2 linked regions of the Coturnix japonica genome follow. Each later gene encodes a partner of the first gene's protein in a complex. Links are inferred from orthologs where the notes say so. Each region holds a gene or a part of one and is shown in the gene's direction. Other genes may lie near its edges.

Region 1 (12,351 bases):
CTCACTCGTGTTTCATGATGTTGTGCTGAGGTAGGGTACCATCAGGGGTTACAAAGCTCATCCGGGCACAGATATCCTTATAATCCTGATTCCTCCGCTCAAAGTCCTCCACGTGAGCAGCCAAGTGGGAATTTACAATGCAGAAGGTGGTGTTGTGGAACACAAACCGCACCGCCACGCCGCCCTTGTTGCCCTGGGCAGAACAGGTGTCAGTGGTTGTTAGAAGAGAACGCACATGAGGCATCGGGGGAACACAGGGATGGCACAGCGATGAGAACAGGATCAGACTGTGCCATTTCTTGCATGGGTACACAGAAGCAATAGACTGGCCTCGGTGACTCACCATCTTTCCGATGATTCCGGTGCCCACAGACTCTGTCACGACCTCTCTGATGTTACTCAGCTGATCCTTCCTAGCAAACACGAGCAGCATCATCCCAACTAGACGGACCATTTGCACCTGCAAAAATAAAAGCAAATCTGAGTTTCCAGAAGGGCAGTGGTAACACACATCCCATCTGCCTGCTCTGCCTCACTTCTCTGTCCCTCTCAGTTCCTCATTATGTTTTGTACTCAACCCATGCTTGCAACAGAGCCCAAAGGATACTCCTGTCCTACAGTTAGCTTCTGGAAGACAATCCGTCATCTCCCAACAGCCATCAGCAGCGCTGAGCTCACCACGTTTCCCACTGTGGTGTTTCCCTACAAACACTGTTGCAGGGTAACAGAAACTTCACAAACGCACAGCAGTTTTGTCTCTAATGCAAGGAGTCTCCTTCTGGAGCCAAGAAGTTCTCAGCTGAGGGATAAGCTCACAGGAGCTAACACAGTACTGGTGTGCACTCCCAGCAGGGACTACAGGTCTGCTGATGACTCTCTGGTACATTAAGGCCAGGATACTTTGTGGCCCACAGTCTCCCTGTGCTGTCTAAATAAGCCTTGGGTCATCACCTTGAAAACCAGTGCTGAGCATGGCCTGCACACTCACCTGAGAGGCACTAAGATGTGCTGGGATTAAGCCTATATAGCGAAGGAAGAAGCTGAAACCACAGAAATAAATGGGAAGAGCCAGAGAACTCAGCACACTCTGCAGGAGTGACATTCACATGCAACCACAAAGGCTTATCTATGGTTTCAGCCACTGCTCTCTGCCTGCAGACATACCCTCCCCCTTTTGCAAGGGTGGAAGAAGTTTGCCTAAAAGCTCATGTAACACAAAGGCAAAGGAACATCAGCCTCTTTGCAGTTCCCATTGTGATCCCTAATTCCTTCACCATGAGCTTCAGTTCAGTGAGATATTCCCTTTTCCTGCTGTCACCTGTAACCCACGGCTCTGAGCTCAACACAGAACAAGCAGCACAGGGGTGTGACAGCGAACACACAGGTCAACAAGGAAAGGGAAAGCAGCTCATGCAAAACAGTCAGAGATGAAATACAATGGTTTGTTTCAAAGCAATCAGAGCAAAGAGCAGGTGCCACAACTGAACCAATTCTGCCTCAAGGTAGCAGCCTCCAGAGCATTTCTCCTCACAGATTATTCCATTCCTTCAGGGAGAAACTATTCATTTCATTCCCCAGCTCAAGACACACCTTGTTTCTATACAATGGTGGGAGAGTAACACAAAGAAATAACTTGAACCTGCTGCTACGGTTTTATTAAGCATACTAATTCCTTGAAATCTACCTCTTATTTTATACCTATTTTCATCCTCTATCTTTACTAATTTCTGCTTCTAAATACAGCATTCCCCTACAACAACAGGACAAGCAGACTTTCCAGACGCAGCTCAGCATATCTGACACACAGACAGGTAGACACACGCCAAGCACACATCCTTCATTCCTCCAATCTGCTTTTTGGGTCAGGTGATGAAATGGGAAACCCATTTCTATGCTCTTTCCAGTAATTCCAACCCTCTGACAGCCCCCCATACCACCCAACAGAACTCACTTTCTTATACTTAGCCTGAGGGTGCAGGGACCTCTCCACAGCAGCCAGCCATTCCTGCTCCTTTGCAGAATCAAAGTAGAAAAAAGCCTCCGTGCTGAGGTCCAGCTCCTGGAATCTAAAACCAAGCCAACTTAGCAGAAGTGCAGTGTACCACAGATCATTCTCTACACGAAGGTCCAACGTGAAACCTTCATGAATCTCTCTTGGTAGAAAAACCTCATTCTCTGTTCCTAAAGCATCAGCGCCTCTGAGACCCTACTGCAACAAATACAGGAAACTCCTCTCTGCAAGAAGCATGACTTCTGATTGAGGACAGTCAGAGAGCTCTGGGGACACCCCAAGTAAAATCTCTTTTGCTACATGACAGTAACCTCTTGTTTAACTTGACACCCTGCCTCAACCAAATGGCAGTTCTCCTTTAGAAAACTCAGCTTTGTGGAACCTCTGAGAACACAACAGAAGCTTCAGATAAACACAACACACCAGTACCAAGTAGGAAACCTGGCACTGTAAGTAAATACAAGGTAATTGCTCCTCACCCAATGCAGTAGAAGTCGGGAGGCTCTGTGTCACATACCAGCCAGGGTTCCAAGCCACTGTCTGGAGACTGCCCGTTCACATTCCATGTTCCCACAAAAAATCTACAATACAAAAGCAGCTGAACTGTAAGAAAACACAATAACCAGTGCACGAGCCCAGTATTTCCAGTGCACACAAAACAGTATCCAGGCTGGGAGAACACATGAGTAATCCGTGCACAGGGTAATGCCAACTATGGGGTAACTGAAAATATTCCTAGGCTTGGCTCATCTCCAGTGACACCAAATTTGCAGAAAGCTACAAAAACAAAATACATTTCAATGGGGCCAGCAAACATCTGGCTCTGTTAAAATCGTGTTGTGTGGGATGATGCTAAGGCTGTGCAGTGAGACAGCTCCCTTTTTTCTCCTTCTGCCAACTGCTTCAGTCTTACTAGAAGGTCCCGAGATCTGACACTCACAAAGGGAATGACGCAAAAGGAGAAGCTGTATTGCAGACATTTCTTTTCTTTTCAGACTGCACAAATCCCTGTTCAGGCACCCAAGCCAAGTGGGGATAGGACTAGGGGTAATGGGATGAAAGTACAGCATAGGAAGTTCTGCACGAATGTGCGGAAGAACTTCTTTACAGTGAGGGTGATGGAGCACTGGAACAGGCTGCCCAGGGAGGTGGTGGAGTCTCCTTCTCTGGAGATATTCAAGACCCGCCTGGACGCCGACCTGTGTGACATGGTGTAGGGAGCCTGCTTTGGCAGGGGGGTTGGACTCAATGATCTCTAGAGGTCCCTTCCAACCCCTACAATTCTGTGATTCTGTGATTCTGTGTGATTCTGTGATTCTGTGAAGCTGGCAATGCATCCACAGTTGTCAGATCTCAAACCCGGGCTGGATTTGAGCTCACAGAAGAGATTACAAAGTCTTGTCACCCTCTCTGCACAGTGCTGTCTAGTCACAGCTCTAACCTGAAGTTCTCAAGGTTGACGTATTCCTTCTCTCTCTTTGCAAGCACGTGTTTGATGAGGCCTTCTCTTTGTCCTGAATGGGTGTTGGGTAAAAACATTTTGCGCATGGTGTTGGTTACTTTTGGCTGGTCTCTTGATGTACCTTCTCTCTCTCGTTGAAACCTCAAAAGGAAGCAAGAGCAGAATTAAAACTGGTTCTGCTGTCGAGGAAGAGAAGGGAAAAAGGGAAGAGATTCACCATGCTACTTACTGCCTACTTGGAGGCACAGGAGGAGGTGGGGGTTCCCGGCGAGAGCCTGCTTGGTGGTTTTGCATGTTTCTTTTCTTCTCTAGGCTTAGAGCATTGAAGTCATCCTCAAACCCCAGAGCTCCTATAAAGAAAAAGCCAAGCACGATACCATGAAAAACAATTTAATACAGCTCAGAACAGAAAAAGGAAGGAATGTAGCTCCACGGGAAGCTAAAGAACAAATGATAACAGCAATACACCAGCTCTGATAATGCAGAAAATGAGTGACAGGGTCAAGGCAAAACAGAACTTTAACACATGCAAGCCAAGGCACTGAGAGGAGACAGCACTCAAGAAGGAATGAACAGACCAGGGCAACAGAATCAGAGGACAAAGATGCTTTGTTTTGCATGGGATACAGTGAAGTAAGGAAATGGTACAGTAGGCAGAGTGCCAAATGCAGCATCAGTCACAGCACCCTGCCACCAAGGGCCCAGTCATACACACATCACAGAGTATGCAAGGGTGACAGCCACTTCAGCACTTGGAGAAGAGGCCTGCAATAGACCTGGGAGGTTCTTCTCCATCTGATGCCAGCTGGCTGAGTCCTTATGTTCAGGCAGAGAATCTTTTAACTGAGCTGGAAAGCCCTATCAGATACTGCTGGTGGCCTGAGGATTTCAGGAATACAGCGATAACTCTGCTTACCTTCCTGTATGCTCTGCACTTCCGAGAGGAACCCCAAGCAATGCTCCTCATCAGGGATTTCAAAGAGCCTCTCAGCTGTCTTGTCACCTTGTATCCGGATCTTGCAGCCTGCTTCAGGCATAAACACAAACTCACAGTCAGGTCTGCTTGACAGATGTTATGCCCTCAGAGCCAATAGAATTACTCCATATTCTCTGAGCTCTTCAATGGAAGGTAACATTCAGATACTGTTTCTGATGGCAATTTGCACCTTACCAAGTTTTGCAGCACTTCAGAGCTTATCCCACCTGCAATACCACCAGTTACGTTTTCCTGTTTTTAGGAAAACTTTTCCTCACTGCTATCTCACAAAGAAGAGCTCTAAAAGTACTAAGAAGGCACTGAAAGGGAAAGCAGAATGAGTGAGTAGAGAGAGCTGCCACATGCACACCATTAAAGGCAGATAGCAACTGGGGCTCAAGATCAGGTCAAAGAAATGGAAGGGAGATGAGAATGGTTCTAAAGCCAATTCAGGGCTTCGAGACGAGATTTAAGAAGTTAAAGTTTAACCAACTGCCAATACTTTTATTTGGGCAGTTAAGACCGTGTCGTGACAAGTGGATGCCTATAAAAGCCAGAAAAGACTTGAGGACATACAACCCCTTCCTGGTCCAAGGACACAGTGTATGGAGGCAGGTAAAAGAAGCACTCATTAGTGCCCAAAACAGGGCACAGTTTCCTGAAAGGAGCTTAACACACGTTATAAAACTTACTGTTTGTAGCTATATCAATCAGCAGAGTTTCTTCTGCCTCTGGAAGAGAAGAGGAAAAAGCACTGAGACTTCACCTTGAATACTGTGGGTAGCGCATACTCAAAAAAGCACATTGCTTGCTTCTAGCCACAGAAGTCCTAGGAAAGGAAGAAACACCTCTGCTACTAATAACAGCTACAGCAGAAAGAATGGCACATCTGGACAGCTCGGACCATCACAGGGGGGACTGCTGATATTCAGAGCTCTTACAGATCTGGACAGTCATAGCGCCTTTGTGAAACACCAGTCTGGCAATGAACTTGAAAGCTTCTCTTACACAGCAAAATGATGGCCAGAACTACACCGAGTTATACGAAAGGTTATAAACTAAGCCAGGAGAAGATGCTGAACAAGCATTTCCCCCAGGGGCAATGTTCTTCCTAGACAACACCTTGAGTTATTTCCCACTCCACGTGCAGCTGTTTGGACCTGGCAGTTTATGGAGGTTTTGAACGAAACACCCAGGAATCAGCTCCCAGCTGCTGCCAGCACAGAAAAGCATGCAGAGCCTGGCAGGCAGTGAGGTGAACACACTGCTGAGAGCTGCTGAGTTCTGTGCGACCTGAACCCATCGGGTCCTTGCAGGTGTGCTGAGACAGGGCAGCCCTGCTCAGGTGTGGAAGGCACAGGAGCCCATAAGCCACAAGTTTTACTTCCAGGGGAAGCATGAAGTCTACACAGATCCTGAGGTCAAGAGAAACCACGAGATTCCGTTTTCGCCAAAGAACGGCAGTGGATTTGGCTGCCACAAAGAGCCCGCTGCGGGAGTCCGTACCTTGCACGCACTTAAAGCGGCTGTTGATGGGAATGTAATCCGGCTCTGAGTTTTCTCTCTCCTGCGAGTGGATAACTATCCTGCAGACAGAGCGAAGCCGTATAAAACACCGGACCAGCCCTGTCCCCGCAAGCACACGGCTGTTAGCGCAGCTATAAAGGCTGTTAGCACACTGTAAAGGCTGTCAGCACAGCTATAAAGGCTGCCGGGAGCAGCACACCCACCGCCCGAGGGACGCCGTCCTGCCCCGTCAGCGCACCCCACAGTACAGCCACCTCAGGCCCGGCCCGGCACTCCGCACTCACCCGTAGCGGCCGCCCCGCCGGGCCAAGCTCAGCACGCACGGCTCCCTCCGCCCCGCCCGCAGCTCAGCGCCGAGCAGACCCTGCGCCGCCGCCTTGTCCCCCCGCCGGCCCTGCCCCCCGCCCGGCCGGCTCCTCCCCGCCGGCCCCGGGCGGCTCCCGGTGCGTTCGGCGAGGCCCCAGGCCGCGGCGGGCGGCTCCATGGCGGCGGCGCCTCCGTCTCCCGGCGACCCCGCACCGCCCCTCATGCGGAGCGCGGAGCTCCGAGTCACAGCGCCCCCTGGCGGCGGGAGGACCGCTCAGCGCCGATTCACAGCGCTTTCCGCCCGCGGCCCCGCCCCCCGGCGCTGATTGGCTGAGCGCCGCTGTCGTCTGCAAGGCCGCGGGACAGGGCGGGAAGGGCCGGGTTTGAAACGCAGGGCGGCAGCGGAACGGCGTCATGGCTGAGCTGAGCCCCGAGGAGCAGCGGTACCGGCGGTGAGAGGCCGGGGGGGGCTGCGGGGTCTGCGGAACGAGGGCGGTGGGGATTGAGGGGGTTAGTGGGGCGGGGGATGAGGAACTGGAAGTTATAGCGGTGTGGGGGCCTGTGGGGCCTAAGGGCTATAGGGATCTTGGGGGCCTGCAGGGCTTTGTGGGGGTCGTGAGGAGGAGGAGGGTCGGGACTGGGGGCTCGGTCCCGGTGCTAACGGAGGTGCTGCAGGCTGGTGATCGACGCCAAGGAGGCTGCAGGCAGCGGGGACCTGGAGCAGGCCCTGCGGCTGTTCCGGCAGGCGGTCGCCATCCATCCCAGTGAGAAGCTGAGGGGCCGCATTCAGCGACTGGAGGCAGCGCTGGCAGAGCTGGCGGCGGCGGAGGAGGAGGAAGGGGATGAAGGCAACTTTGTGGACGTGTGCGGCAGCGGCCTGCTGCTCTACAGGGAGATGCACGAGAAGCTCTTCCAGCACCAGCGGGAGGGAGTTGCCTTCCTGTACCGCCTGCACCAGGAGGGCCGACCTGGAGGGATCCTGGCTGATGAGATGGGCCTGGGGAAGACCATCCAGATCATCGCCTTCCTCTCAGGCATGTTTGACAGCGAGCTCATCCGGCACGTCCTGCTCATCATGCCCACCACCCTGGTCAGCAGCTGGCTGGCTGAGTTTGCTCGCTGGACCCCTGGTTTGCGTGTCAAAGAGTTCCATGGCACAAGCAAGACAGAGCGCACCAGGAACCTGGAGAAGATCCAGAGGAAGAACGGCATTGTTGTCACAAGCTACCAGATGCTCATTAACAACTGGAAGCAACTTGCCAGCTGCCACGGGCAGGACTTTGTTTGGGACTACATCATCCTTGACGAAGCACACAAAATCAAGTGCCCATCCAACAAAACAACCAAGTGTGTATACGCAATTCCTGCGAAGCATCGCCTCCTCCTCACAGGCACGCCACTGCAAAACAACCTGCAGGAAATGTGGTCCTTGTTTGACTTTGCATGCCAGGGTTCTCTCTTAGGAACAGCCAGAACATTTAGAATGGAGTACGAGAATCCCATTACTAGGGCCAGGGAGAAGGATGCAACTGTAGGTGAGAAAGCACTGGGACTTAAGATATCTGAGAACCTAATGACAATTATAAAGCCATATTTCCTCAGAAGGACTAAAGGTGATATAAAAAGAAATAATGCTGAGAAATCAGACACTCTTCTTCCTGAGGATCCACGTGAGCCTAGCGCTCCTGTCATGCCATCTCTCACTAGGAAAAATGACTTTGTTGTGTGGGTGTACTTGGCACCAGTGCAGGAAAAAATCTACAGGAACTTTCTCTGTCTAGATCATGTGAAAGAACTGCTGATGACAACCCGATCACCTCTGGCTGAGCTGACTGTCTTGAAGAAGCTGTGTGACCACCCCAGGCTTCTGACTGCAAGAGCGTGTACCCAGCTGGACTTAGATGGACAGGAGTATTTGGAGCAGGATCACGAGAGTCAAACAGCTGTACTTTCAGGTGCCAATAAAATAGACCATCTGTCTGATGAGACCCTGATCCAGGAGTCTGGGAAAATGCAGTTTCTTTTAGGACTCTTAGAGAGGCTCCGGGAAGAGGGACACCGAACACTGGTGTTCTCACAGTCAAGAAAGATGCTGGATATCATCGAGCGGGTTTTGTCTAGCAGACGATTTAAGATCATGCGTGTTGATGGAACGGTGACCCACCTCACAGAACGGGAGAAGCGCATTAATGCCTTTCAGAGTAACAAAGACTATTCTGTCTTTCTGCTAACGACACAGGTTGGTGGTGTTGGTATAACCTTAACAGCAGCCAACCGAGTGGTGATCTTTGATCCCAGTTGGAATCCAGCTACAGATGCTCAGGCTGTAGATAGAGCTTATAGGATTGGGCAGAAAGAGAATGTGGTGATTTACAGGCTGATTACCTGTGGGACAGTAGAAGAGAAAATATATAGGCGGCAAGTATTTAAGGATTCATTAATAAGACAGACTACTGGTGACAAAAAGAACCCGTTTAGGTATTTCTCCAAACAGGAACTAAGGGAGCTTTTCACATTAGAAGATACACGAACATCCACAACTCAGATCCAGCTGCAGTCTTTGCATGCCACCCAGAGACAGACTGATGTGCAGCTGGATGAGCACATTGCTTATTTGCACTCTCTGGAAATGTTTGGCATATCTGATCACGATTTAATATTTACAAGAGAAGTGACCCATGAGGAACAGGCTGAGAGTGAGGAAGCCCATCAGTACATCCAACAGAGGGTACAGAAGGCCCATGAGCTGGTTCAGTTAGAGTCTCAGCTCAGAGATGTGAGGATGGAAGGGATTCGAAATGCTGCTGAGGAGACATTGGTGAGACCAGCAGAACTGGCTTCACAGACAAAGAAGAGGTCTCCGGGGTTGAATAATATAAATAACTCTGTTTCACCACCAGCAGCTGATAAACGTGAAAATGACAAAGTTATTGATCTTACAGAGGACATGGAGGTCCAGGTTCTCGATGTCAGCTCTAAGATGACAAATCTGACTATTGAGTTAGGTGAAGAGAAACTGGCACAAGAGACATCGGGTATGGATATAGAGCTGCTTACTAGTGGCAAGAAAGCGCAACAGCCCAATATACAAGATTCTGAACAAAATCTGGACTCAGACACTACACCATTATCACCTGGAATTGGTCCACTTGATAAAGAGACTCAACAGAAACAACATTCTCTTCATCATATAAATTCACATGGCTTGACTGAGGCTGGGAATGGCCTGTCTGGGCCTTCTCAGCATTCCTCTAATGAATCTGTTATGACTGATGATTCCAAAAGGTTACAAGACACAGAAATAGCAGATCAGGTACTTGATTCATTTGCTGTCTCAGAGACAGAAAAGAAAGATGTTTCTGAGCTAGCTTTGTGTGCCCTACCACCAAATTTATCAGATGTTTTACCAAAAGTCCATGCTGAGGTCCAGGAGTCTCATGTGCAAGAAATCAGCTCGGAGGATACATCTATGCCTTTTCCCCAGGATCAAATTGACTTCAATCTGGTTCTGGAAGAGTCTGAAGGTGGATTGCAGGATGCCTCAAATGGGGAAAGATCAACGGAGCACCCAGAAGATGAAGAGTTCCAGCTAAAAGCAGAAAGCCTGCATAAATCATCAGCAAAAACTTGCTTAAGTGAGAAAAGTAACTCTGGGAACACATACAACACAGCTGAAGAAGATCCAAATAACTCTTTGCAAGGGAGTGAAGCATCAGGGGAAGACAGCGCTGTCCTTGTTTCAGCTAGAAAGAAGCACATGAGAAGAATTGTTTCGGACAGTGAAGATGAGGACCATTCTGTTATAAACCTGGAGGAAGAACGGTTTGATGAAAGGTCCTTTCCTCTGAACAGCCCTCAGCGTGAAGTTATAGGAGGAATTGAAACATCTACTCCTAAGAATGAAAGAAGTATAGCAAAAGCCATCTTTTCTCCCAAATTAACTAACAGCAGTAACAGGTCTACAGCTTCCAGGAGATCTCTCATCAACAAGGTGGTGGATGAGGTTGAGGATATTAGTGAAATCATGGGAACCACAGGTGAAGAAGAAAACAGCGATGAGGAGCAAGAAGGCTTTGCAGAAGAAGAAGCAGAAGAGTGTAGTGGGGAGTCTGTCAAGCCTGAAGAAGAACCTGCTGGAGAAACACTGAATTCAACTGGAGAGTCCTTCCATATAGAGGGTCTGCAGTCTGAAGGAGATGAGACAGAGTCTTCTCAGGAGGAATCCACTGGTGATGCTGAGCTTCAGTCAGATGAACAGGTGGAGTACTGCACCCAGGAAAGCGTCTCTACTGGTCAGAGTTCCTCTCCTCGCTCAGGTACTTACAATGCTTTGGTGGACAGAGGGAAGAATCTGAAGGAAAATGGAAAACTACAAGAGGCACTGAACTGTTTCCTGCAAGCTCTTGATATAAAAAGTGGAGATCCCGAAATCATGCTTATGACCTTAAACTTGTACAGACAGATGGCTCAGAAATGAAATGTAAACCTTTGAACAGTCTAATGAAACATGCCTACCTTTGTTAAGTAGTTTAACTTTTTTCACAAAATATTTGTTTAAACTATACTGATGTTAAACTATACTGATCTTATAAACTTAAGACTGGCTGCAATATGTATTTCTTTCATGTTATGAAACTTTCAGTCATGCTTAGTGAACAAATCCAGCAACTCCTCCTGTTGTCACATTTTTTGGTGCTGGGAAAGGAATTTCACTGTGGACTCATTTCATTAAGAAGTTCACGTTCCTGTTCATGTAATTAAAATACCTATCTTTGTACTCAAACGCAACTCTGGATTTGTGTTTCTGGCCTTCAGTTTCTCATCTAGCAGGAGAGACTCTCACAAAGCTGAAGGTGTGGTTAGCTTGCTGCAGTCTAAATTCCAACTGCTGCAGTCCCTCTCCTTCTCAATGTAAATAAAGTCCATTTGCCTACCTGAACCATGCCCTGCTATTTAAGCACACCAAGTGCTTGGTACAAAGCTGAGAACAGAACTGCCCCAACCTGGATTTAAGCTGGTCTGAGAATGAACATCCTGGGGTGGAGGGAGACGGCATGCTGGCCTCCATTGCTCGGAGGATTTATAGCAGCAAACATCTGCCTGGCATCAGGACTAGTACTGAAACAGTACCACAGAAAACCTCTTTACAAGGTACAATAGGCACAATGAATCTGAGTTTAAAGTCACAAGAACCTCACTCCAGCTTTCAGCAATGTCTTGTTCATCTGACTTCCCCCTCTGCCACCATGGTGAGTTAAATTTGGCCTAGGCATGAGAATTTGAGTTCTTTCTACTAGATGACATGCCAAATACAAACAGCGGTCCTGTTGGTACAGGAGATGTACCAATGTGCTTTTGCTAATAGGTGTAAAACAAAGCCCTGGTAGCCTGGAAACAAGTAGTTTATTAATAAAGCATCACTTAAATGGGTCCGCATCTGCTCATGCTGTAAAAAGGCCTGTCTGCCTTATATAACAAAATATTAACGAGCTTTGAAAATGCTGGTTGGCATGTACAAACCTTCTGTTCTCTCAACATAATGAAACAAATGTCCCCAAAAGCAGGGTGGGAGAAAGACCTGACCTGATTTCAGCCTTACCTCTTCACTGTGTCTGATGGTGGGAAGACCTTTTGTTCTATTTGATGTTTTGCCCTCATCCCTAAGCCTGCAGACATACTGGCATGCTTACCTGCAGCAAAGACGGCACCAGTTTAAGTCATCTTTCAGCAGACAGAAGATGAATGCAGTGGGATATTTATTACTGAGATGCCAGAGGTAGGGACATACAGGGCCATCTCATTCATATCAGTCACACTGTCACTTATCCCATTTTACCAGAAGGACAAAGTGCACCTTACTAGGCTTTAGGCACATACTTCATACCTCCAAGTCTTGGTAAAGACTGCTGACTGAAAGAACATGGAGCCTGCCCAGAGCAGTGACCCTGAGCTGCAGTAGTAGCATTAGATTGGCATCTAACAATGGGAGGCTCTTCCATGTTAAGTCTGAACTCTGGAGCTGAACCTGTAGCATCTGAGCTGCCTGCATCCTTGCTGGTGAGGATAAAA
Region 2 (11,844 bases), on another chromosome or scaffold:
CCTGGGTGTGGTAGGCTTCTGGAGGATGCACATCCCAAATTATAGCCTCATTGTGAGCCCCCTCTATCAGGTGACCCGAAAGAAGAATAGCTTCGCGTGGGGCCCTGAACAGCAGCAGGCCTTTGAGCAAATCAAGCAAGAGATAGCCCGTGCTGTGGCCCTGGGGCCAGTACGGATGGGACAGGATGTGAAGAACATCCTTTACACGGCTGCTGGGAGAAAGGTCCCACTTGGAGCTTGTGGCAGAAGACCTCAGATGAGACCCGAGGCCGACCCCTAGGATTCTGGAGTAGAGCATATAGGGGGTCGGAAGAGGGCTACACTCCAACTGAGAAGGAGATCTTAGCCGCATATGAAGGGGTCCGGGCTGCCTCTGAGGTAATTGGCACCGAAACGCAGCTTCTCCTGGCACCTCGACTTCCAGTGCTGAATTGGATGTTTAAAGGGCAGGTTCCCTCCACTCACCATGCCACAGATGCCACATGGAGTAAGTGGGTTGCACTAATCACACAGCGGGCCCGGATGGGGAACCTCAGCCGTCCAGGGATCCTAGAAGTGATCATGGACTGGCCCGAAGGTAAAAAGTTTGAAGCACCACCAGCAGAAGAGGTGTCACGCGCCAAAGAGGCTCCCCCATACAATGAACTTCTGGAAAATGAAAAGAAGTTCGCCCTGTTCACTGATGGATCGTGCCGCATTGTTGGGAAACATCGCAGATGGAAGGCTGCAGTGTGGAGCCCCACACGACAAGTTGCAGAGGCCACGGAAGGAAGAGGAGAATCGAGTCAATTTGCGGAGGTAAAGGCTGTCCAGCTGGCCCTAGACATTGCTGAGCGGAGAAATGGCCAGTGCTTTACCTCTATACTGAACTCGTGGATGGTGGCCAATGCCTTATGGGGGTGGTTGCAGCAATGGGAAGCAAAAACTGGCAGCGGAAAGGTAAACCTATTTGGGCCGCTGAACTATGGAAGAACATTGCCTGCCGAAGAAAGAACATGGTCCTAAAGGTGCGTCACGTAGATGCCCACGTGCCCAAGAGTCGAGCAACAGAGGAGCAACAAAATAACCACCAGGTAGATCGAGCTGCCAGAATTGAGGTGGCTGAGATAGACCTGGATTGGCAGAATAAGGGAGAGTTATTCCTAGCTCGGTGGGCCCATGAGACCTCAGGCCATCAAGGCAGAGATGGAACACATAAGTGGGCTAGAGACCGAGGGGTGGACATAACTATGGACGCTATTGCGCAGATCATCCATGATTGTGACACCTGTGCCATGATCAAACAGGCCAAGAGGATGAGACCTCTCTGGGGGGAAGGGCGATGGGAAAAGTATAAATATGGGGAGGCATGGCAGATTGATTATATCACCCTGCCAAAGACTCGTAATGGTAAGCATTATGTACTCACCATGGTGGAGGTAACCACCGGGTGGCTTGAGACATATGCGGTACCCCATGCCACTGCCAGAAACACCATATTAGGCCTAGAGACACAAATCCTGTGGCGACATGGCACCCCAGAGAGGATCGAATCAGACAATGGGACTCATTTCAAAAATTCACTGGTGAGCACTTGGGCCAAAGAACATGGCATCGAGTGGATCTATCACATCCCCTATCACGCACCAGCCGCTGGTAAGATCGAGCGCCACAACGGTTTGCTGAAAACCACGCTGAAAGCAATGGGTGGTGGAACATTTAAGAACTGGGAGAAACATCTAGCAGAAGCCACCTGGCTGGTAAACACCCGAGGATCAGCCAACCGAGACGGCCCTACACAGTCCAACTCCCTGCGTACCGTGGAGGGAGACAAGGTTCCTGTGTGCATGTAAAGAATATGCTGGGAAAAGCGGTTTGGGTCCTTCCAGCCTCTGGAAAGGGGAGGCCCCTCCGTGGAACTGTCTTTGCACAGGGACCTGGGTGCACCTGGTGGGTGATGCAGAAGGATGGGGATGTTCAGTGTGTGCCACAGGGAAATTTGATGCTGGGGGAGTGCAGCCTGTGATTCCATGTGTGTATATATATATATATATATCTGTATGTACATATGTAATGCATGTTAACTACTGTTCTGTTTATATGTTGATAAAAGTTAGGCATGATGTGATGATGTGTAATAAGGGGTGGAATGTTATGGTTTTGCAATTTGGTTGGTGTTGGTATTCCACATCAGAACACCATGCTAATAATGGGAGTAAAGGGGACAAGTTTTTTTTTCTGTGAACTGCCTTAATGAGCATGTGGGGTGGGGCACCGGAAGGGAAGTGAGGAAGGGGACGGCGTTGCTGGACCGGCTCCCTGCGAGGAGACAACGTGGTCAGACCTTCCTGCCTTCCACAGCTCCATCGGTGAGATTTGGGACTTGGTACTCTCTTTGTTGAAACTCTCTTGTTGTTGTTTAGTGTTATTAGGTTATTAAACTGCCATTCGTTCTCAGATCACCTTTCTCCTCCCTCATTTTTTTGTTAGACCTAATCGCAATCTCCCTTCCCTTCCCCCGTCTCCCTAAACGCACGTGGCCGGGCCGCGCCGGGCCGCGCCGCACTGCCCGCTAGAGAAAAGGGGGGGGGCTTTTGTTCCTGCTGCCCCGGGTTTGTGCCCACTGTCCCGGAGTGAGCTCTAGAGAGAACTCCGTGACATGTATCAACTTCTGACATCAGCAGAAAGAGAATAGTGACAGTTCGGGTCATAGCCTTCATGGTATTTTCAAAAGCTAACGTAAGGAGAGCACTAGCAATGCTAAATGCAGGTGGTGGGAGCAGTGGCAAGGTCACAGGACGAAGAGTCAGAAAATCTAGGTTCTATTCTTGGCTCTCCTGCTGACTTGTTGCCACCCGAGTTCTCTGCAGCTCGAGATCCTCACACATAAACATAATGATACTTAATTTGGGAGAGTATTTAGAACTCGGTGGGAGAAGAGTGCTAAATATTATAATTTAATTTCTAGCCTGTGGAGAAAGCCATGAGCCAAGACAATAATAATAATAGTAATAATAATAATAATAGTAATAATTTAAAAAAAAACAACATAAATAATACTTCACTGTATTTTTGTTGATTTATTTTATTAATGCATTTAATAATTTGATATATGTAATACAAATGAAACTTCTAGAGACAGTTTGGCCTCACACTCTTATGTAACAATGCCTGCTTAAGGGGAACACATCTATAACTACTATTTTTTAAGCAATCTTACTAATACAATATTTATTCATTCAAAGGGCTCCAATTCAAACATGAAGAACAGAGATACTGGCTCACCCACTCAGGTAAATGCAGAGCAGCCAAGCAAGAACAAGAATCCTAATATAACATGGCTCTGTGAGGAAGAACCCTTCAGTGACATAACCACTTCGTCTTACAAGAAACCCCTTTATGGCATCTCACACAAAATTACAGAGAAGAAGAATGCACCGGGAGCAGAGCAGTTTACCTCTTACGACTTGTATGAAAAAATCAGCCCCAGCAGTCCCTCGCATCTTCGGACTTTGAATGACCAGCGCAAAAGGGACTCTGCTGCAGCCCTTGCTGCAGCAGCTGTTGCTGTAGAGTCTGACCCAAATATATATTCTTTGATACAGAAAATGTTCTTCACGCTTAACACTCTCAGTTCCAATATGACCCAGCTTCACAATAAGGTTGACCTGCTGTCTCTGGAGGTGAGCAGAATTAAAAAGCAAGTCAGTCCAGTGGAGTGTGTGGCAGATTTCAAGCCTCCCCCTGAGTACACGCTGACTTCTGCTGAGCTCAAACAACTCATGGATCAAAGCACGTCAGGTGGAGACCTTGCCTGCCGGTTACTGGTACAGCTCTTCCCAGAGCTCTTCAGCGACGATGAGTTCAACAGGAACTGCAGCGCGTGTGGCTTTCCTAACAAGAGGAAGCTGGAGTCTCTCCATCTGCAGCTTATCCGTAGCTATGTGGAAGTCTGTTATCCTTCTGTGAAGAGTACAGCTGTGTGGCAGGTGGAGTGTTTGCCTCAACTCAACGATTTTTTCAATAGATTTTGGGCTCAAAGGGAGTTGGAAAATAACCCACAGAATGTGCAATCCTCCAGTTTTTATGAGACTGAACAGGTGGATTCCTCTCATTTTCTTGACGATAAAGAGCAAGAAGAAGCTTTGTCCTTGGACAGGAGTAATGCCATTGCCTCAGACTACATTCTAGATGCTCAGGATCTCAACGAATTTTTAGATGAAGCTTCTTCTCCGGGGGAGTTTTGTGTTTTTTTGTTACATAGACTGTTTCCAGAACTCTTTGACCACAGAAAATTAGCTGAAAGGTACAGTTGCTATGGGGACTCTGGGAAGCAATTGCTGGATCCTCATCGGCTTCAGATAATACGTAGGTACACTGAAATTTACTTCCCAGATGTACAGGAAGAGGAAGCTTGGTTGCAGCAATGCGTTCAGCGAATAAATGAAGAACTTGAAAATGTGTATATGGATGGAAGTGAATGTGATCAGTTGAGAGATGACTGTTACGACTCTTCTAGTTTACCAGATGACGTATCGATCATAAAAGTGGAAGACAGCTTTGAATATGAAAAACCAGGTAGACGCTCAAAAAAAATATGGCTTGTGCCCATTGACTTTGACAAACTTGACTTTCCCCCTCCTGATTTTGATGTCCCTGTTCCCGATTACCTATTGAACAAAGAACAGATCAAAAACATATACGAAAGCAGTCTTTCCATAGGCAACTTTGCCTCTCGGCTGCTTGTTCTCTTGTTTCCCGAGCTGTTTACTCATGAAAACTTACGGAAGCAATACAACTGTAGTGGGTCTTTGGGCAAGAAGCAGCTTGATCCCACTAGGATTAAATTAATTCGACATTACGTGCAGATACTGTACCCAAGGGCAAAGAATGACAGAGTATGGATGTTGGAGTTTGTTGGGAAGCTCGATGAGAGGTGTCGGCGAAGGGACACGGAGCAACGGCGCTCATACCAGCAGCAGCGGAAGGTCCACATGCCGGGGCCCGAGAGGAGGGAGTTCCTCAGCTATGCAATAAACCCCGAAAGGTTTCGAGAAGAGTTTGAAGGGCCACCATTGCCACCTGAAAGGAGCAGCAAGGATTTTTGCAAGATACCACTTGATGAACTCGTTATTCCTAACCCAGACTTCCCTGTGCCTTCTCCGTATTTGCTGACTGATAAGGAGGTAAGAGAGATCGTACAGCAGAGCCTTTCTGTTGGAAACTTTGCCGCCAGGCTTCTCGTAAGACTGTTCCCAGAACTCTTTACTCCTGAAAATCTCAGACTGCAATACAACCATTCAGGTGCTTGTAACAAAAAACAGCTGGATCCCATCAGACTGAGACTGATCCGCCATTACGTGGAAGCGGTTTACCCCGTGGAGAAAATGGAAGAAGTATGGCATTATGAATGTATACCGAGCATTGATGAAAGATGCCGGCGTCCTAACAGAAAAAAGTGTGACATACTGAAAAAAGCAAAGAAAGCAAAGAAGTGACAGGCTCTTTGAATTCCTAAGACTTTGACCACTAAATTATTGTCAGGATTATGCTTTGTTTCAGACTGAAGGGCCTGTCGGGCTGGGGCTGCTCAGCATCCGAGAGAACTAGGCACTAAGTTTGTTGCATTTTAACGTGTGTGTTGCATCTATGTGGGCACTGCAGCAGTGGGAAGTGGCTTACTAGGTTTGTACGTGGGTAAAGATCCTAAGTCATTGGTGACAGAGCTCTTGATGACTCATTAAGAGCATGGCTTTCACTGGCGCAAGTACCATGTACTGAAACTCTACTATGCCATTCCCCATTTCTGCATTTCTTCCTTTTTTAACACTTTTTAATAATAAAGATTTTTTTTTTTTTTTTAAATGCGGTGCTCGTCAGGGGCAGTATTTCATTTCACCCTTATACACAATCATGTTCGTTCATTTGGAGTTTGAAATTTAAACCTCATGGAAATCTACAAAACTAATGCTTCTTGAAAGTACCATTTTCATTGAAATCACAGCTTGAATGAGTTTTGTTCTCATTGATACTGGGATGCTGGAAATAGTAATACCACGTCCAAGAATGGGTCAGAGTGGTGTGGTTTCAATTTTTGACTGTTACTCAAGTTTTGTTTCTAAAAATTCTACGAATATGAACTATTGGAGAGTTGAGACGTGAGCATAGACAGCGTGAATGTCCCTTTCTGTTGGCACCCCAAGCTTAATCATGCCCCTGTGAGTTTTCTTTTTTGCCCAGTGTCACGGTTGGCATGACTGAGGGTGGCTTGTGAGAGTAGAGCCAGCAGCACAGACCCAAACCCGCACCTGTGGAATGTATTGCCACTGCCTGCGCCTGCCTGCTTGCCTCTCTGTAACACAACAATAACTAGATAAGCAACACGGACTTCAAAAACTTTTAGAACTTACTGTGTCAAAATGACAATTCCAAAGGTTTCCAGTATTAACATCAAATTGCATCAATAAAAGTTACCCGCAAAGATCAGTTTTGGGATGGAATGAAGTGCTATGAGGTTCCCATGAATGAGCTGTGGTAATGTAACTCACTCTGCATCATCAGAATGGCACCATCTGGATTTTTCAGATGTAGAGGGATATTGAGCTCGCTCACTTAGCCAAATTGATTTAGTGTAATTAGTAGCTATTTGGAGACATAATTGTGTATGTATAACTTAGATTCATATGGTCAAGTTTGCATCAATAATATGTTCATATGTAACATAGGCCACCTAGAACCCACTGTGACTCTGCTGTATGATTTGTCACTGGAGAGCACAGCTTTAAAACAGCTTTCTCCTTTTTTTTAATGGCGATGTGAATGATGTCAGAGAGTGTCAGATATGCATTTTTGAGTCAGTAGAGTCAGCGACTGCGTACTGACCATCGCTGGAACGCCTCGGAGCAATCGTTGATGTTCCCTGTGGTCCTTTTTAATTGTTCCTAAATGGCTCGTAGCGTATCAAATTTGAAATCTGTTCCAGTCTAATTTTCTATTTTAGCATTTGTAAGAAAATACAAAATACTCGATATTTTTACTTCGGATTTTTAGAATTTATTGTTCTTAGAGTCATATTGATCTCTCCCTTTAAAAAGCAAAAGAACGTTTGTTTTTTTCCTAATGGCAAGTACTAGCAAAAGGATAGTGTTTAAAGCCAGGAGTAAGCAGTAATAGATTTGCATTTGCTCATCTTCCCCACGTGCTAGCAACATCCTCAGAGAATGTATGAAGAAAGTCATGAATGTATTAAACGATACACTGAGACTGTTTGTGTCCATCTAAATGTTTTCCGCTGGTTTAAATAATAGCAGACCACACGCAAAATGGATATCGGAGCGAATGTGTCTAAAATAAAAAGAAAATGTTTTTACCAAAGATAAAGAACCGATACCGCAATGTCTGCATTATCTTTCATTTCAGTGCATAAATTTAGCAAGTTGAATGTGCCAGAAACAGACCTTCTCTTGTAATTGTATGCTACCAAGCGCCTCTGTGAAGTCTTCTACATGCACTTGTATGGGAGATATAAAACCACAGAAAATACCAACAACCTGTTGCAAATGCCCAACCAGATGGCAAGAAATGCAAAGTGTGGCTTTCCTTTATACTTTTTTTTTTTTTTTTTTTTTGATTTTGATGTCATAAATGTTATACCACTAAGTGATGTCAAAGCTCCCAAAGAAGTCGATGACGTTAAACTGTTGTAGCACTGGCGGGCGTTACTAGATAGCATGTGAATTTAGGACGTACTGGGTTTTACTGTAGATGTTGTCATTCTGTCCTGACACATCAAAGATCAGGCCGTTTATATTACATACTGATGAGTGAAAAAGCGATTTTCAGCTTTTAAAATGGCATTTTCAAAAGTGGGTACAGAAAGATCCTTGCTGGTTTTTCTCTTAACTTACATCTGATGGTTGTGTACATTCCTTTGTCTCACTGTTCCCAGCCTTTCATGGTTTGACTGTATGCTTTGTGAAGAAAAGAGTGACATACAAGTAGTGACATGGGGTCACTGGAAAAAAAAAGCTCCTGCAGTGCATCCGAAGTACAGCCACTTCATCCGGTTGGTCTGTCCTGTAAATAAATTAAAGGTATATTATTTTCATACAAGAGGAATGTTGTCTGGTGATTGCCTGAATACAGTGACACGAGCATATTCGTGTCCATTCCCTATAGAGGCTGTTTCTAAGAGCCAAGATAATCTCAGCAAGTCGGGCTGAAGACAGAAATGAAAACTCCCTGCTTTGCTGCAGCCGTTTTTTCTGCCTTTCAGATGGTTTTTGTTCAAAGGAGCAAACTTGGCCCCTTCAAAACAACAGGAAGATTGCTAGGTGTTAGCATATCTGGAACGTACGTAGCCATACACACACAGACTTCCTATAGACTGGCGTTGCCTTCTGCCTATCAGGTCAGCACAACCTGCTGAGGCGAGTATCGTGTCCCTATTGACATACAGCTTAAATATCTCACCTCTTAACAGCTTTCTGAAAGGAACGTTGATACACCTCAGCTCTCTATTTTTCTCTCTTTCCTAGCCTGCACAAATTAAAACCTTTTCTTAGAAGCTCTGTAGAAGATGTAAAACAATACATCAAAAGGGAGATCAAGCACACGTTTGTTTACTGCCCATTAACTGCATTCAACTGGCTAAGAAAACAAGGTTTCAGATGAGGAGGATCCTTATGCTTAGGAAGTCAACCACTCTGTTATCATTACAGCCCCCAAATGTTTCATGTTCTAAGAAATGTTCTCACCTGTTCTTTTTCCTGTCCTCAGGTTCATGTAGTACACTCTCTTATAGATACATTTTTTGAGCGTCATTCATCTCTTTGTGAATTGTTATTTATGTGCAGCAGTGGGAAACAGAACTGTATCCTCAACACTCTAAAAAGGGACACTAATTTTATGCTGGAAGGAGTGCTACTAATTCTACAGCCCCAGGAAATACAGAAAAGAACGTGCAGGCTTTGTTGGTTATTTAGCTTTTGTTTCAGAGATTAAAGGGTTGTGAAACAGCTGGAAAATGCAATGTCTGGGGCTTGCCTGTGCTGAGGTAACAGCAGTGGCTGACAGGTGTTCTCACAGTGTGCAGTTCTGTTGATTGCATTTAAAATCTGTGGTAGGGCAACGTGGCAGGTTCACATCTATGGTTTTCCTGAGTAAATAGAATTCTGCCATTGTCACTGACAAAGCTTCTTCACTTCCTCTGTGTGACTTCACGTGTTTTTTATGGTTGCTCTGGCCATTCAGATGGCACCGATGCAGGTATATTTCTTGTTGTTTTTAACCTTGTTCTGGGGAAAAAGAATGCACTTGGAGCTGTTTAAACGAGTTGCTGAAATGAGATGCTTTAGTGCCCTCTCTTAGGGTTGTCCTTGGTAAGGCTGAGAAAAAGAACAAAGTCCCCTTCCAGAAGTCTTTGTTCTTCCTTCCTAATTGTCCCAACAGAAATAATGAGAAATAGCTAATATTTGCAGTGCTTTTTAAGCCCTTGCTGTTACCCTCCCTGTTAAAGACATTGTTCATGTTAACCTCCCACCAATAGTGATGGTCTTAATTTCTTATGGGCTACACGGTGCTCATGGTCATCTCTGTGTAAGCACTGCTTTGAGAGGTGGTCTTCCACAGCAGAATGCTGGAGCAAACTCCAGATCAGCATCCCATCAGATCTGGGATACTTTCCTCGTACCTCATCTGATGAGCAGGGCGTGAGCCCCTGTGCTATATCATTTTCATCCAGCATATCCCGTTTTATTTTTGTCACCTTCTGAATGGCATTCCTACTGGTTAGTGATTGCACCATGAGAAGCCTGTTGGTGCAGGCAGGCTGCTGCTTGCCCTCTTTCCTGATTCACTTCATGATGTGGCTGCAGCCCCCTCTGAGCGTTTTTCTTTTCATTAATGGCAAGCTGAAAGGCCTTCGGTTCTTATGGGAAGAGCTGTAACAGAGATGAAATAAAGCTGTTCTGCAGAATGCCACATTTTCCCTGCCCCAGCCTTCCCCCTCACAAGAGAAATGTGAATATTAAAAAAAACAAACTTGAAGAGTAAACCATAATCAGTTAAAAAATGGGCAAAATCACCACATGTCCAATTGTACAAAGATTTGCATTAATAGACGTAAGCAAAACAAATGGTGATTGCCAAAGACTGGAGGAAGATCACCTCATTAATATCTCCCCCTACACACAAATGTCAGATAATCATTCCCCATTTCCTTCACAAATCTCATTATGGTCAATCAGCGGTTTGTCACCGTTAACAGGCGCGTTTTGTGGTGTCGTGCCTTGGTGCTGAAGCTTCCCTGGAAGGGAAAGCATTCCTCCCATCATGACACTTTCAGGAGCGGTAACTTCAGTTAGCTCCAAGGCGGTGCATTAGCATGGTCTGCAAAGGTTCCCTGTAAAAAGAAAATGCCCAGGTGCATGGGAGCAGCAGGAGTCACTCGATAGGATCACGTCCTATTCCTGAAACACAGAACATCCAGGAGTCTCTTTCTGTGGCAGATAATGCTGTCCTTTGTTCCTCTTGCATCTGCTCTCAAGAGTTCAGAAACCTGTGTGTTCTCCTTGGAGTGCTTGTCTATAGGTACACTGGATGCTCCAGTATTGGAGATGAATTTTAAGTTTCAGCGGTGCTGTTTGTGCTGCTCTCCCTACCATACACATGGACTCTGCACCCCTTTCCCCATGAGGGCTGTTGCAGACCAACCATCATGTTGAGTCCTGTATTTCACAGGAGCTGGTGGTTAACTGTTCTGATGTGCCATTGCAGGAGAAAGAAATACAATCCAGGAATGCTTCAGTGCTATTCTTGTCCCTGTGGAAAAAAATAATTGCCTGTTCTTTTGTGGAGCAAGTTGGAGGTGAGTGATTAAAATCCCTTTTTGTTGATCTGCAGACAATAGAACTGAGAGACTGATGCTTCTGCCAACTGCAGCCCAGTTCTGTGAGCATTTCCCTGCTGTCCTCCCATGGATGACCACAGATCCTGCTCTGCAAGGCAGGCTGGCCTCCATGCAGCACACACTGCAGTGTGGGAAGCATGCAAAGCTATCAGCTCATCCTGGTGCCATGCCGGTGCCACGGTTCTGTATGGGCAGTCTGACAGTGCCAGGCAGTGCCTTCTGAACTGGATCCGGCTGTTGCTTTATCAGTGTGTACCAGATATACCTGAGTCTGATACCTTACATTTGCTTTGTGAGCAACAACTTCTTGCCTGCCCGCTTAGATATCAGGAACATGCTAAGAAAAGCAGCCTGCTGTGCACTCCTGCTGCTTGATCTGGGCTGCCCTCCCCTCTGGGCTCTTCTCACTTGCTAAGGAGCAGACCGTGGGCTGAATGAATGCTCCCACCTGCACACACACACACTTGGATGCACAGATGTTATACACTTATAAAAATTCTGTCTGTGCCACAGCTCAGAGTTTGTTGTTTCTGTTGAAAGAAGTGTATGTTCAACATTACAAGCGTGGGTGATTACTCAAGACACCTGCTCCCAGGCAGCACTTCCCTGCAGTAATACAGGCGTGTACTTCTAATCACAGCGTTGTCTGATCTTTGGTCAGATCTCTACAGCCACTTAAGTGATAAATTCTCCTTTAAACACCACGCTGAAATCAGTATGCGGTAAAAAACAACATCTCATTTTCTTCTGTTACCCGTGTGCCTCCTACCTGAGCTGCCTTCTCCATGAGAGAAGAGGGGATCTCTGCCTTTAATCCTCGGTCATTGTGAAGTTTCCTACTTGTATTACATCAACATACATGAAAACACAGTTGGTATTGTTAACCAGGATCAAATCAGTAATTAAAAAAGGAAGCAATACGTATGTTACGTATTTACATGTACGTATATATAACA

The links.
Region 2: the proteins of ERCC6L (region 1) and BEND3 are in contact, whole or in part, in a crystal structure (PDB 5JNO), measured with the Homo sapiens proteins. The link is inferred for Coturnix japonica from reciprocal best matches to the Homo sapiens genes ERCC6L and BEND3. Residues at the interface, in NP_060139.2 of Homo sapiens: Ala10, Glu11, Ala12, Leu13, Ser14, Pro15, Glu16, Ala18, Ala19, Tyr21, Leu22, Arg23, Lys26, Phe51, Pro52, Asn53, Glu54, Lys55; in NP_001073919.1 of Homo sapiens: Glu252, Gln255, Ile256, Gln259, Leu261, Asp265, Arg269, Val272, Gln273, Pro276, Phe279, Ser280, Phe335, Arg338, Phe339, Gln342, Glu346.

Annotation. Positions count from the first base shown.
Region 1 is NC_029519.1:1,618,583-1,630,933, forward strand, and holds ERCC6L (DNA excision repair protein ERCC-6-like), read left to right. Parts: upstream 1-6,644; 5' UTR 6,645-6,645; coding exon of another isoform or gene 6,646-6,696; coding exon 6,697-6,734; intron 6,735-6,957; coding exon 6,958-10,759; 3' UTR 10,760-11,221; downstream 11,222-12,351. UniProt on the Homo sapiens protein: DNA helicase that acts as a tension sensor that associates with catenated DNA which is stretched under tension until it is resolved during anaphase. Functions as ATP-dependent DNA translocase. Can promote Holliday junction branch migration (in vitro).
Region 2 is NC_029518.1:61,805,325-61,817,168, forward strand, and holds the end of BEND3 (BEN domain-containing protein 3), read left to right. Parts: intron 1-3,224; coding exon 3,225-5,477; 3' UTR 5,478-8,093; downstream 8,094-11,844. UniProt on the Homo sapiens protein: Transcriptional repressor which associates with the NoRC (nucleolar remodeling complex) complex and plays a key role in repressing rDNA transcription.